Coturnix japonica: one gene and its partners. The main gene of each other region encodes a partner of the protein of the gene in region 3 in a complex. Links are inferred from orthologs where the notes say so. Each region holds a gene or a part of one and is shown on either strand. Other genes may lie near its edges.

What was found. Proteins that work in one complex are often made in the same cells at the same time.
Region 1: the proteins of TOMM5 (region 3) and PINK1 are in contact, whole or in part, in a cryo-EM structure (PDB 9EII), measured with the Homo sapiens proteins. The link is inferred for Coturnix japonica from reciprocal best matches to the Homo sapiens genes TOMM5 and PINK1. Residues at the interface, in NP_001001790.1 of Homo sapiens: Met1, Phe2, Arg3, Ile4, Gly6, Leu7, Ala8, Lys10, Leu11, Asp12, Pro13, Glu14, Met16, Lys17, Arg18; in NP_115785.1 of Homo sapiens: Gln484, Ala488, Gln491, Ser495, Lys496, Pro498, Val502, Lys520, Leu522, Lys523, Leu524, Met527, Glu565, Cys568, Gln569, Ala571, Leu572, Leu573, Cys575, Ser576, Trp577, Ala579, Ala580.
Region 2: the proteins of TOMM5 (region 3) and VDAC2 are in contact, whole or in part, in a cryo-EM structure (PDB 9EII), measured with the Homo sapiens proteins. The link is inferred for Coturnix japonica from reciprocal best matches to the Homo sapiens genes TOMM5 and VDAC2. Residues at the interface, in NP_001001790.1 of Homo sapiens: Ile25, Arg29, Leu32, Ile33, Ala36, Arg39, Val40, Phe43, Ile44, Lys47; in NP_001171752.1 of Homo sapiens: Val38, Thr60, Gly63, Asp239, Tyr258, Gln260, Thr261, Leu262, Leu268, Leu270, Val286, Leu288.

The regions. Positions count from the first base shown.
Region 1 is NC_029536.1:4,264,992-4,268,736, forward strand, and holds the start of PINK1 (serine/threonine-protein kinase PINK1, mitochondrial), read left to right. Parts: upstream 1-1,257; coding exon 1,258-1,275; exon of another isoform or gene 1,276-1,519; intron 1,520-1,723; coding exon 1,724-2,110; intron 2,111-2,903; coding exon 2,904-3,170; intron 3,171-3,414; coding exon 3,415-3,518; intron 3,519-3,745. UniProt on the Homo sapiens protein: Serine/threonine-protein kinase which acts as a sensor of mitochondrial damage and protects against mitochondrial dysfunction during cellular stress.
Region 2 is NC_029521.1:12,479,988-12,483,732, forward strand, and holds the start of VDAC2 (voltage-dependent anion-selective channel protein 2), read right to left. Parts: upstream 2,412-3,745; 5' UTR 2,313-2,411; intron 2,158-2,312; exon of another isoform or gene 2,025-2,157; intron 1,638-2,024; 5' UTR 1,617-1,637; coding exon 1,583-1,616; intron 1-1,582. UniProt on the Homo sapiens protein: Non-selective voltage-gated ion channel that mediates the transport of anions and cations through the mitochondrion outer membrane and plasma membrane.
Region 3 is NC_029547.1:66,690,097-66,693,609, reverse strand, and holds TOMM5 (mitochondrial import receptor subunit TOM5 homolog), read right to left. Parts: upstream 2,097-3,513; 5' UTR 1,993-2,096; coding exon 1,872-1,992; intron 983-1,871; coding exon 948-982; 3' UTR 508-947; downstream 1-507. Other genes in the region: CEP120 (centrosomal protein of 120 kDa), read left to right, coding at 2,223-2,274, 3,037-3,193.

The sequences.
Region 1 (3,745 bases), on a different chromosome or scaffold from region 3:
TCCCTCTTTGCTTTTTAGTCAATCCCTTTCCTTTTTGGAATGCTTCCCTTTTGCTTTATGGGGTGGTGAGTGATGCTGGTGCTTCCCTATAGGATGCAACGTAGAGAATGCCTGCTACAGCCTTGGGATGTGCGCTGAGCGTGCAGCCATCCTAAAAGCCATCTCCGAAGGGCACACACGCTTCAAGGCCATGGCCATTGCCAGGTGAGGCCATTGGCACCCATGGCACCACATCACTCTATGGGTTTTAGGGTGATGCCCCATTTGGGTTTTGTTCAATCTCTTTGGGGTTTTGGCGTAGTGCTCCCTTTTGGGGTGCTGCCCACTTTGGGTTTTGGCTGATCGCTTTGTTCAATGGGGTGGTTCTCCCTTTGAGTTTTGGGCAGTCCCATTGGGTTTTGGGGAATCCCTTTGGGTTTTGGAGTGTTCCGCCCTTTGGATTATTGGCTATTCCTTTGGGCTTTGGGGAGGTACCCCCTTTGAGTTTGGGGTGATCCCTTTGCTTATTGGGATGGTTCTCCCTCTAATTCTGAGGCAATCTCTTTGGTTTGGGGGGTGATTCCCCCTTTGATTTTAGGGCATCCCCTTTGGGCTTTGTGGTGGTGCCCCCTTTGGGTTTTGGGTAATACCCTTTGGGGAGGTGCCCTATTTAGGTTCTGGGTGATTTCATTGGGTTTTGGGTGATCCCTTTCTTTTCCAGTGTGGTTCCACCTTTAGTTTTGGAGCGATCCCTTTGGGTCTGGGGGAATCTCTTTGGGTTTCTATGTCTGATTCCCTTTGGCTTTTGGGATGGAGTGATACTGAACCTGGTGTGGCTCTTTTGCTTTGGCAGTAACATGTCAGACTTCATCACGCCATGCGGGGCCTGCAGACAGGTGATGAGAGAGGTGAGTGGAGCCCCTGCCATGCTGGGGGCATGGAGGGCCACAAGGAGCTGCAGGCCACCATGGATGGGGGCCACCCCTCCATCTCTGGGCTGAACAAACTAAGGGAGCCCAGCAGTTGAGCTGAGCTGTGGGTGCTGCAGCATGGATTCCCTATTGACCCTCTCTCCTGCTTTTCTCCTTGTAGTTTGGCACAGACTGGGACATCTACCTGACCAAACCTGATGGCACCTACATTGTGAAGACACTACGGGAGCTCCTGCCACTCTCCTTTGGCCCCGAGGACCTGCAGAAGGCATGAACTGCACACCTGCATTTCCCTTTCAGCACCTTGGATCACTCCCCCTCTATGCAATTGACTCCATTGGGGACAATGGAGTTTGCTCCATGGGTGTTGCTTGGATCCAATGCAGCCCAACAGGGGATAAAAAGCAATATCAGCTCCAGTTCCCAGCATTATCCAGCAGCCATTTGTGCACTGTGTTCACCGTGCAGCCAATGTGATGCCACAGCTCCTTTTTTTAGCCTATTTTTCTCCTTTCTCTCTATATTTTTGCTTGCTTTCGTGAGGACAAAGAGCAATTCCTTGACAATGAAACAGCAATGGAACAAAACCCAATGACGTGTTACTTTAACGAGGCATGCTGTGCTCTGTGCCCTGTTGGACCATGCCCTGCGTGCTCAGTGCTGTGTGCACTATGCCCTCCATGCACTCACTGCACTCCATGCACCAATGCATGCTGCACCAATGCAACCTGCAGCAGCACCTTAAGCCCTCACCTTGCGCATGCGCATTGCGCATTACGCGCTTCCTCGTAGCCACGCCCCCTTCCTCATAGCCACGCCCCCTCCCCATAACCACGCCCACTTTCCCTGTAGCCCCGCCCCTTCCGCTTCCGCCTTCTTCCCGCCTCTTCCTGAGGCGCTCGGTGGCCGCCATGTTGTTTCGGGTGCTGTTATCCCGGGCCTACCGCCTGCTGCCCGGCCGCCGCCCCCTCCCCATCCCCGTCCCCCCTCCTGTCCCCTCAGCCGTTCCTCCATCTTCCCTCTTTTCCCGGCTGCCATTCGGCCGCTTCTTCTCCTTCAGACGCCCGGCTGGCCTAGCGGCAATGGCGGTGCGGAGGGTCCGGGCCGGGCCTTGTATGGCGTTGGCGTTGGGGCTGGCGCTGTTGGAGCCGCCGTTGGAGGAACAACGAAGAGCGAGGGCGGCGTGTGGCCGGATCCAGGTGTGGGGCTACGGGGAGGGGTTGGACGTGATGAGCTTAGTGGCCTTTTCCAGCCTTAGGGGGGTTCTGTTGTCCCCATGGTTACAGCCTGAATGGCAGCCTCTGGCTGCGGCTTTCGGTCTGTCTTTGTGTGTGGAATCGCTGTATTATTGGGTTGGAAGGGATCTCGGAGCCCATTCAGTACCAACCCGTGCTTTAGGCTGGTTGAAAATAAGGCCATTTTGCACTTAACAGTCACTTGGGCTTTCCTGGTTGATTAAAAGGCATTTTGCTCTTTCCAAGCACTCCAGCTTTCCTTTATTGTGCAGTCTTTGCAGAATCACAGAATGACCCGTGTTGGAAGGGACCTCAAGGATCACGTAGTTCCAACCCCCCTGCCTGGCAGGGCTACCAAACATACACCTTTACTAGATCAGGTTGCCCAGGGCCCCGTCCAACCTGGCCCTGAACACCCCCAAGGACGGGGCATCCACAACCTCCCTGGGCAGCCCGTTCCAGGGCCTAACCACTCTGCTAGTAAACAACTTTCCCCCTAACATCCAACCTAAATCTTCCCTCTTTCAACTTAAAACCATTTCCCTGTGTCCTGCTATTGTCAGCCCTTTTGAAGAGTTTACTCCCCTCCTGGGAGTAAGTTCCCTTCAGGTATTGAAAGGCTGCAGTGAGGTCACCCCGCAACCTTCTCTTCTCCAGGCTGAACAAACCCAACTCCCTCAGCCTGTCAATAAACTGAATAGTCTTGAATAAACTGAATGCTTTTCTCATTCCACTTTTCCTTCGTTTTTCCTTTCAGACGGTGTTTGTTGGGAAGAACAAGGCGCAGAAAGATCCGCTGAGCTCTTTGCGATGGCGGGGCTTTAAGCTGGAGGATTATCTCATCGGGCAGCCCCTTGGGAAGGGCTGCAATGCTGCTGTCTATGAAGCAACTATTCCTTCATCCCTCCATCGCCAGGGGAGCACACAGAGCTCAGCTCTGCCTGTGTCTGAAAAGGAGCCGGCAGATAAAAGCCAACAGCAAGCTGCCTTCCCCCTGGCTATCAAAATGATGTGGAACATCTCGGTAAGGAGTCAGCTCTTAACATCCTCCTTGTGTGTCTGGATATGCCCAGAGTTAGGTTACACAGGGCAACCTGATGTGGTGAGGGGCCACCCAGCCTACATAATGTCTTGGAACTGGATGATCTTTAAGGTCCTCTCCAGTCTAAGCCATTCGATAAGGACAAGACATTGAATGCCTGTTGTTAGTGACAAGTCACACAGCCAGTCATTATTCCTGTGGAGCTGACAGCACGTTGCTGTTGCAGGCTGACTCTTCAAGTGAAGGCATCCTGCGCAATATGCACCGAGAGCTCGTTCCAGCCACACAGACTGCTTTAGCTGGGGAATATGGAGCCATCTCCCATCGCAGGTACAGTATCCATCGCAATGACAGCTGTTCTCAGGGTATTATGTGCTAATTTGATCCAGCTTGATCCATCGGTTTCGTTCTGCAGCACGTCTGTGCTGTACAGAATGCAGCTGGAGGTTTCTGTGATATCTTATGGGAAGAACTGAGCATGAATCCTTGGGATTATTCCATGTGTGTGTGTGCCTTAGCTAAATGGCACTGCCTTTGTTGGTGCTGTATGCCTCAGT
Region 2 (3,745 bases), on a different chromosome or scaffold from region 3:
GAAAGAAAAACCAAGAACCTCTTCAGCAAGAAACGCTAAACTCTACACAGAAGTCAGTAAAGGAATCAACCCAGCACCTGCTGGGGAGTATAAAACAAATCCGTTCTTGCGAGGAGTAAACTCTTAAAAAAATAAATAATAATATAAGCCTAAGGAAAAGATGATTCAATAGCAGAAACAGATGTGAGTCCCAGTGATGAGACAAAATGGTTTCTATGATTTATTCAATAAAAAGTAACAGAAGCAGGACAAAACTTGAAGAAAGTGTGGGAGCACTGGTCTTCTCTCACTCCAAATCCCTGGTGTCCAGTTCATTAGTAGCTTAAAAGGGCTTTGAGAAGTTTCAGCTATGTACTCTTCCTCTGAGTAGGTCCAACTACCGTCTCCAGAAGAATAATTATTACTAGTTCAGAAGTATCAAAATGCATGTCTGTGCTTAAGGCTACTACATATAAAAATATATGACTGTATGTATAAACTTCTTTCATCTTTAATGTTCCCAAGCTGACTAGATATTCATCATAGACAAGAGATTTATGCTAAGGCCCTAAAGTTTAAAAAATAATATTTTTAATTGCCTGTAACTAAATGTGTGGAATTACTGCAATAAAAGGATACTGCTGTTTTTATCAGGCCAAGTTAAGCATCCTCCCTACTGCAGGAAACTGACTAATCCTTGTCAGCCATTCCAGCCTACAGGCCCAGGTTTCCTGATAAGGAGTTAAAACAGCTTATGACCTTCACGTTGCTGTTTCAATTCATACGCTGACAGGGACACAAGAGGAAAAAGCAGATGTTATTTGGGGGTACATAAAACACCCCGTAAGCCGGGGTCACCACCAGAAAGCTCTTTAAAGGCCAAAATATATCAATTCTGTTTCTTCCAGTGTTGAAAAATTCACTAGATTTGCAAATCCTTATGATGAGAAGCAATTTTATTCGAGCATGTTTTGAAGCGTCTTTCATCTTCTTACTAATTAGAAGCACCTAAAATAAAGCTACAATTTAATTACAAGCCTGTTGTGACAGTAGATATCAAATATCCTAATTTCAGGAACATAGAAAATACTTATTTCAGGTAAGCATCCCACTTTTTCTTTTTATCCCCCTTTCTATATAGACCTAAAAGAAATAATCTGCTACTTAAATATACTTTCTTCCAAAGCAAAAAGAAAATGAAATGCCAAGATGTGTGAAGGCTGTCACAAGTATTACATCACAGCTTTCTTTCGAGGCAATACTTGGAAAGAGCCCCACACTTAGTAATTAAGGTATGCCAGTGGCTTCAATAACCATTTCCAGACCTCAGGACATTGAGGATCAGCCTAGAGGGCACAGAATTAGGAACAAAATACTTAAGTATTATGTATTAAAATATATAATATTTTTATTATATAAACTTTTATATATACTTTTAAACGGCAACAACTAAAGTGAAATTGTATCCTATCATTGAAAATAGCAATAAACCGATACTGAAAATACCGTTAAAAACATGTCCGATCTAACGCTGACCTCCTTTACGCTTACGGAGCTACTAAACGAGAACTACTACCCTCGCTGTAACTACCTCCCTACTTACACCTCGACGCCTGGCACGCGGACGACGTAGCCATAGCTAGGCCAATGCACAGACTCTACGGAGAAGGGAGAGAGAGTCAAACAGCGCTCGGTTCGCTCCGTGCTCACAAAACCGAAGCAGCGCGGATCCCCTCTCGCTACGGGCCGGGCCGCGCGGCGCCCGCTGCCGCCGCAAGGTGAACGCTCCGCGCGGCCATCTTGGGCCTCGCGCCTGACCCCCGGCGCTACGGCCGCCCCTTATGTAACCGCAGCCCGGGCACGGCCGAGGCCATCGCGGGCGGCGGAGCGTCCCGACCCCGTCCCGATCCCCCCACACCCCGTCCCTCCCGACCGCCCCCAGCGGGACAACGAGGAACGCGGCCCCGGCCCCGCTCACCGCCCTTCGCTCGCGCCCCACCCGCCTCCCCCGGCACCGCGGGACGAGCCCAGCCCCGGGCCGGCACCTGGCGAGCGCGAGAGAGCGGCGGGGCCGGGCGGAGCGGGACCGGGGGCGCGGGCGGGTCTGGCCGTGAGGAGGCCGCGCTGCTGCAGCCGCTGGCACTGGAGGGCGAAGTGAAGGAGACACCGATCCGCCCGCCCGCCGCCGCCCCGCAGGACCCCGGTCAGAAGGGGCCGTCCCGCGAGGTGCCCGTCCCCACGGAGCGCCCCGCGCGCCCGTCCGCCCGACCCGAGAGACCCCCAGCGCGGGCACACACGGGAACACAAGGCTCCAGCCGTGAGAAACGCCGTACCCTCAGCGCGGAGCCGGGATGGAGCGACGTGGGCCGGCAGGCGCTAATTCCGGCAGCCCCAGAGGCGGAGACGGGTCCTCGTGAGAGGGCGGGGCCTGCGCGGGAGGGCGGCAACGGCCGCGCCTGGAACCCGCGACGCGTCCGCCGCTCAGCAGAGCGGGTGCGGCCCTGCAGCGCGCGGGGCGGAGCGAGGCCTCGGGCGGCTCCTCAGTCCAGCGGCCCGCACGAGGGAAGACCCGTACACCGGGTGCAGGCCCTGCGAGCCGCCCGCCTAACTCAAGTAGAAACTTCCGCCCCGTAACGGTCACCAGCCACAGCACAAGTGGGCACAGGCCCAGCCTCCTTAAAAGTACTCAGTCAGAACCCGTCAGAAAAGTGAAAGCGAGTCAAATCATATTCGAATCACATGAAATACACGTTAACAAGCACTACTGGTTTCCTCCAACACATGGTACGGCAGCCGTTTTCTTTTTTTTTTCAGCCGTTACTAAAGCAGGCTGACCGGCAGTAAATTCCAACTGCCCATCAGCATCTAGTTCTGTTTTAGGTTGGATGTTAGGGGGAAGAACATGAATGTGGCATGAATTGTTCATAATACAAGTTCATTCTGAATAGAATTTCAGTTTCTTACATCAGAATGGTGGGGTGGCTTTTTTTTATATATATTAGTCATGGTCCGGCTTTATCATTTTAAAGCAATCCAGTGAAGTACTTACTGCCCCACCCTGAAGGAAGAAGTTCTGAATCACTTGCCTTGTGAAACAGTTTTGTCTGAGACCGCAGTACACAAAATCCCAGTGAATGCTGCTGTCTATCCATACATTATAATCATGATTACTTGAAGAAGACATGTATGTAACCAATAAAAAGACAGCTGTAGTGCTCACCAGTTTCCATCAGAGGTTTATATTCACTTCTAGGTCAAACCTGCAGTCATTATCTGTCCTTCTAAATTTGAGCCTTCAAAGATTAAAAATACAGTGGAAAAGAAACCTTAAGGTAAGCCTAACTGCATAAACAAGGGCTTATCCTGAAAAGGAACTGACCGATAGCATTCACCACAGATGGTAAAATTATAATCAGCAGAAAATAGGTGGGAAATAGTTAAAGTTAGCAGGAACCGAGTTCAGAAGCAGCAAAGCAGTGTTTGTTTTTCTACCAAAGGAGAAAACAGACCCATGCAGAAACCAATGCATTTAAATAAGTTGACATAGATGGATATCCAGGTAACCTCAGGGAAATGCCAGTGAATAAGCAGAAAGCCTGTGACTTCAGAGACTAGAGGGTAAGCCAAAGGCAAATTTAGGAAAGCCAATAAGGAAGCAAATGTTTGCAGGCCCTAGCAAGGCTGACAGAGACACAGAACCCCTTGCAGTTACCTAGATAACCAAAGCTAGATCCCCACAGTCCTATACCCAATGCAAACTAGAACT
Region 3 (3,513 bases):
AAGGGTGCAGCCAACACACTGGGCCCTTTATTTCCCTCAGAAGAGAGTCACTTGCAAGTCAAATGATGAGGTCTCCTTTTTTGACCCCTAACAGGGGCTATTCCCATCTCTAAGACTTGCATCACAGTCATGAAAATCTGCTGTGTTTAAAATCCCATTAATCGTTCACAGATTACAGCAGTGCAGCCTTGCTCATGCTTTACCTTGCATAAAAGCAATATCCATGAGGCTCTAATGGAATGGCAAACTAGCACAGACCTGCAGGATAACACACAGCCAACCCTTTCTGCTTTTATTTCTGAGTCTTGTCTACACATGTGAGAAACTACATTATTTAGAAACTAGAAAAATACATAATCATCTTGCTCATCTTTCTCATTTTCCTTTGTTTTTCTTCAATACAGACTGATACCGAAGTTGGAGGGTGTAAGCCTTAGAAAGCCAGGGAAATATTACCAAAGAACCTCTACTTTGGTCGTCAGCAGAAATAAGTCAGTACCAGAGTAGTTTGTGATGTGACAGAACTGCTCTCCCATTTATTTAAAATCAAACTCCCTCTGCACTGGATTCAATAACAACATAATTTTACAGACAGGTTCGGTAACATTGATAGCCACAGCACGCCGCAGTTTAGAGGTAGGTGCACAACAAAGCGACTTGTTAGCACTTCAAACTTCATGAGAAAAGATGAACAATTTTTTACAGGAGGACCAGAAACGTTCCATTGTAACACTACTGATGCTGCGGAGTGCTCTGTGAGTACCTGCACAGAGAACACACACCTGCCCCACATCCCCCACCACGTTATCACTCGAACACGCCTACATGGCTATTTTAAAGAACATTTAGGATCGGATGCCTGCCTCTGGAACGACGTTGAGCTAATGATGAAAGGAAAGCAGTTCGTGTTTTCAGAAGCCGAGTGTTCCGTGCAGCTCGCGGAGCCCTCACACGCTGTCCAGCTTCTTCAGGATGAAGGGAGCTGAAAAGAGAGCAACACAATGTCAGTGTCTGGTGGTGAACACGGAGAATGGCTTGGGCAATGCAGGTGTCCGGCCGGGCCTAGCTCTAGGCCTAGCTCCAGGCCTAGCTCGGTGCCTAGGTCTGGGCCTAGCTCCAGGCCTAGCTCTGGGTCTAGCTCTAGGCCTAACTCCGGGCCTAGCTCTAGGCCTAACTCCGGGCCTATCTCTGGGCCTAAGTCGGCCTAACTCCAAGCCTAGCTCCGGGCCTAGCTCTAGACCTAACTCCGGGCCTAACTGTGGGCCTAGCTCCGGGCCTAACTCTGTGCCTAGCTCCGGGCCTAACTCTAGGCCTAGCTCCGGGCCTAACTCTAGGCCTAGCTCCGGGCCTAACTCTAGGCCTAGCTCCGGGCCTAACTCTAGCCTAGCTAAGCTCCGGGCCTAACTCTAGGCCTAGCTCCGGGCCTAACTCTAGGCCTAGCTCGCGGCCTAAACTCTAGGCCTAGCTCCGGGCCTAACTCTAGGCCTAGCTCCGGGCCTAACTCTAGGACTAGCTCCGGGCCTAACTCTAGGCCTAGCTCCGGGCCTAACTCTGGGCCTAGCTCCGGGCCTAACTCTGGGCCTAGCTCCGGGCCTAACTGTGGGCCTAGTTCCGGGCCTAGCTCCGGCCTAACTCTGGGCCTAACTTTGGGCTTAGCTCCAGGCCTAACTCCGGGCCTAACTCTGGGCCTAGCTCCGGGCCTAGCTCTGGGCCTAGCTCTAGTCCCAGCTCTAGACCTAACTCCGGGCCTAGCTCCGGGCCTAGCTCTAGGCCTAGATCCAGGCCTAGCTCCGGGCCTAGCTCTAGGCCTAGATCCAGGCCTAGCTCCGGGCGCAGCCCCTCAGGCCGCAGCCCCATCCCCGCACACTCACTGATCCGCAGCAGCGCCACGTAGATGAAGAAGTTACGGACGGAGGTAAGAACGTCTCGCCGCATCTTTCTCCTCATCTCCTCCGGGTCCATCTTAGGCCCCAGCCCCTCGATACGGAACATGCTGCTCCACACACCGCCGCACCGCGCCGGTCACCGAGCGGGGCCGGGAGCGGAGGAAGGGAAATACGAGTGGCTGACGACACTAAGCTGCGACGGAAGGGACGTCACACCCCGTCAGGAGGAGGGGCCGCCGTTGTGAGGCGGCAGCGCGGCGCTTGGAGCGGGAGAAGCCGGGCTGTGGTGGCGGGGCTGCCGCTTGTCGCCGTGGCAGCGCTGTGGTCGGACCCACGATGGTGTCCAGAGCTGCAGACAGACTGCTGATCGTTGTTGCTGTGCTGGAAGGTAAGCCATTAAAGCTTCAGCCCTGCTGTAGTTGCTGGCTTGTTGCCTGTCTCTGCAGCCTGTTTCCTTCAGTGGGGCCCAAGATATTGGAGAGCAGAAAATGATGAGCAGAGGAACGTTATCTCAGCCTAGAGAAGAGAAGGTTGTGGGGTGACCTCATTGCAGCCTTTCAATTCCTGAAGGGAACTTACACCCAGGAGGGGAGTAAACTCTTGGAAAGGGCTGATAATAGCAGGACTAGAGGAAATGGTTTTAAGTTAAAAGAAGGAAGATTTAGGTTGGATGTTAGGAGGAAGTTCTTCACTAGGAGAGTGGTTAGGCCCTGGAACAGGCTGCCCAGGGAGGTTGTGGATGCCCCGTCCTTGGAGGTGTTCAAGGCCAGGTTGGATGGGGCCATGGGCAACCTGATCTATGGGGTCTCTATGGGGATCTATGGGGTCTATGGGGTCTCTGTGGGGATCTATGGGGTCTATGGGGTCTCTATGGGGTTCTATGGGGTCTCCTGGGCAACCTGATCTAGTAAATGTGTATGTTTGGTGGCCCTGCTAGGCAGGGGGGTTGGAACTACATGATCCTTGAGGTCCCTTCCAACCCAGGTCATTCTGTGATTCTGTGATTCTGTGATTTTAATGTAGGAGAGTAATTAGTAATTAGTTTGCAATTACAATATTGCAATTACAATAAAAATTGTAATTAGTTTGCAATAAGGATCTGAGCTCACTTGTTCTGTTTGTGGTGACTGGTAATCACACTCTGTTTCAGGACGCTGTTTTCCAAAACGACCCAAGCACATGCTTGTAGTTGAAGCAAAGTTTGATGGAGAACAGCTGGCTACTGATCCTGTGGAGCATACTGATCAGCCAGAGTTTGCCACTGAATTGGCCTGGGAACTTGATCGAAAAGCACTTCATCAGCACAGGTAACAGCAGAAAGCGAAGCCTGAAATAAATTTGTTAATAAATTTGAGCCACTCCTCATAAGACTTGTACTCCAGACCCCTCACCAGTTTTGTGGCCCTTTTCTGGACACGTTGCAGGGCCTCAATGTCTTTCTTGCAGTGAGGGGTCCAAAACTGAGCACAATACTTGAGATGAGGCCTCACCAGAGCTGAGTACAGAGAGATGATCACCTCTCTGCTCCTGCTGGCCACACTATTTCTTATACAGGCCAGGATGCTGTTGTCCTTCTTGGCCTTTTGGCACACTGTTGGCTCATGTTCAGCTGAGCATTGACCAACAC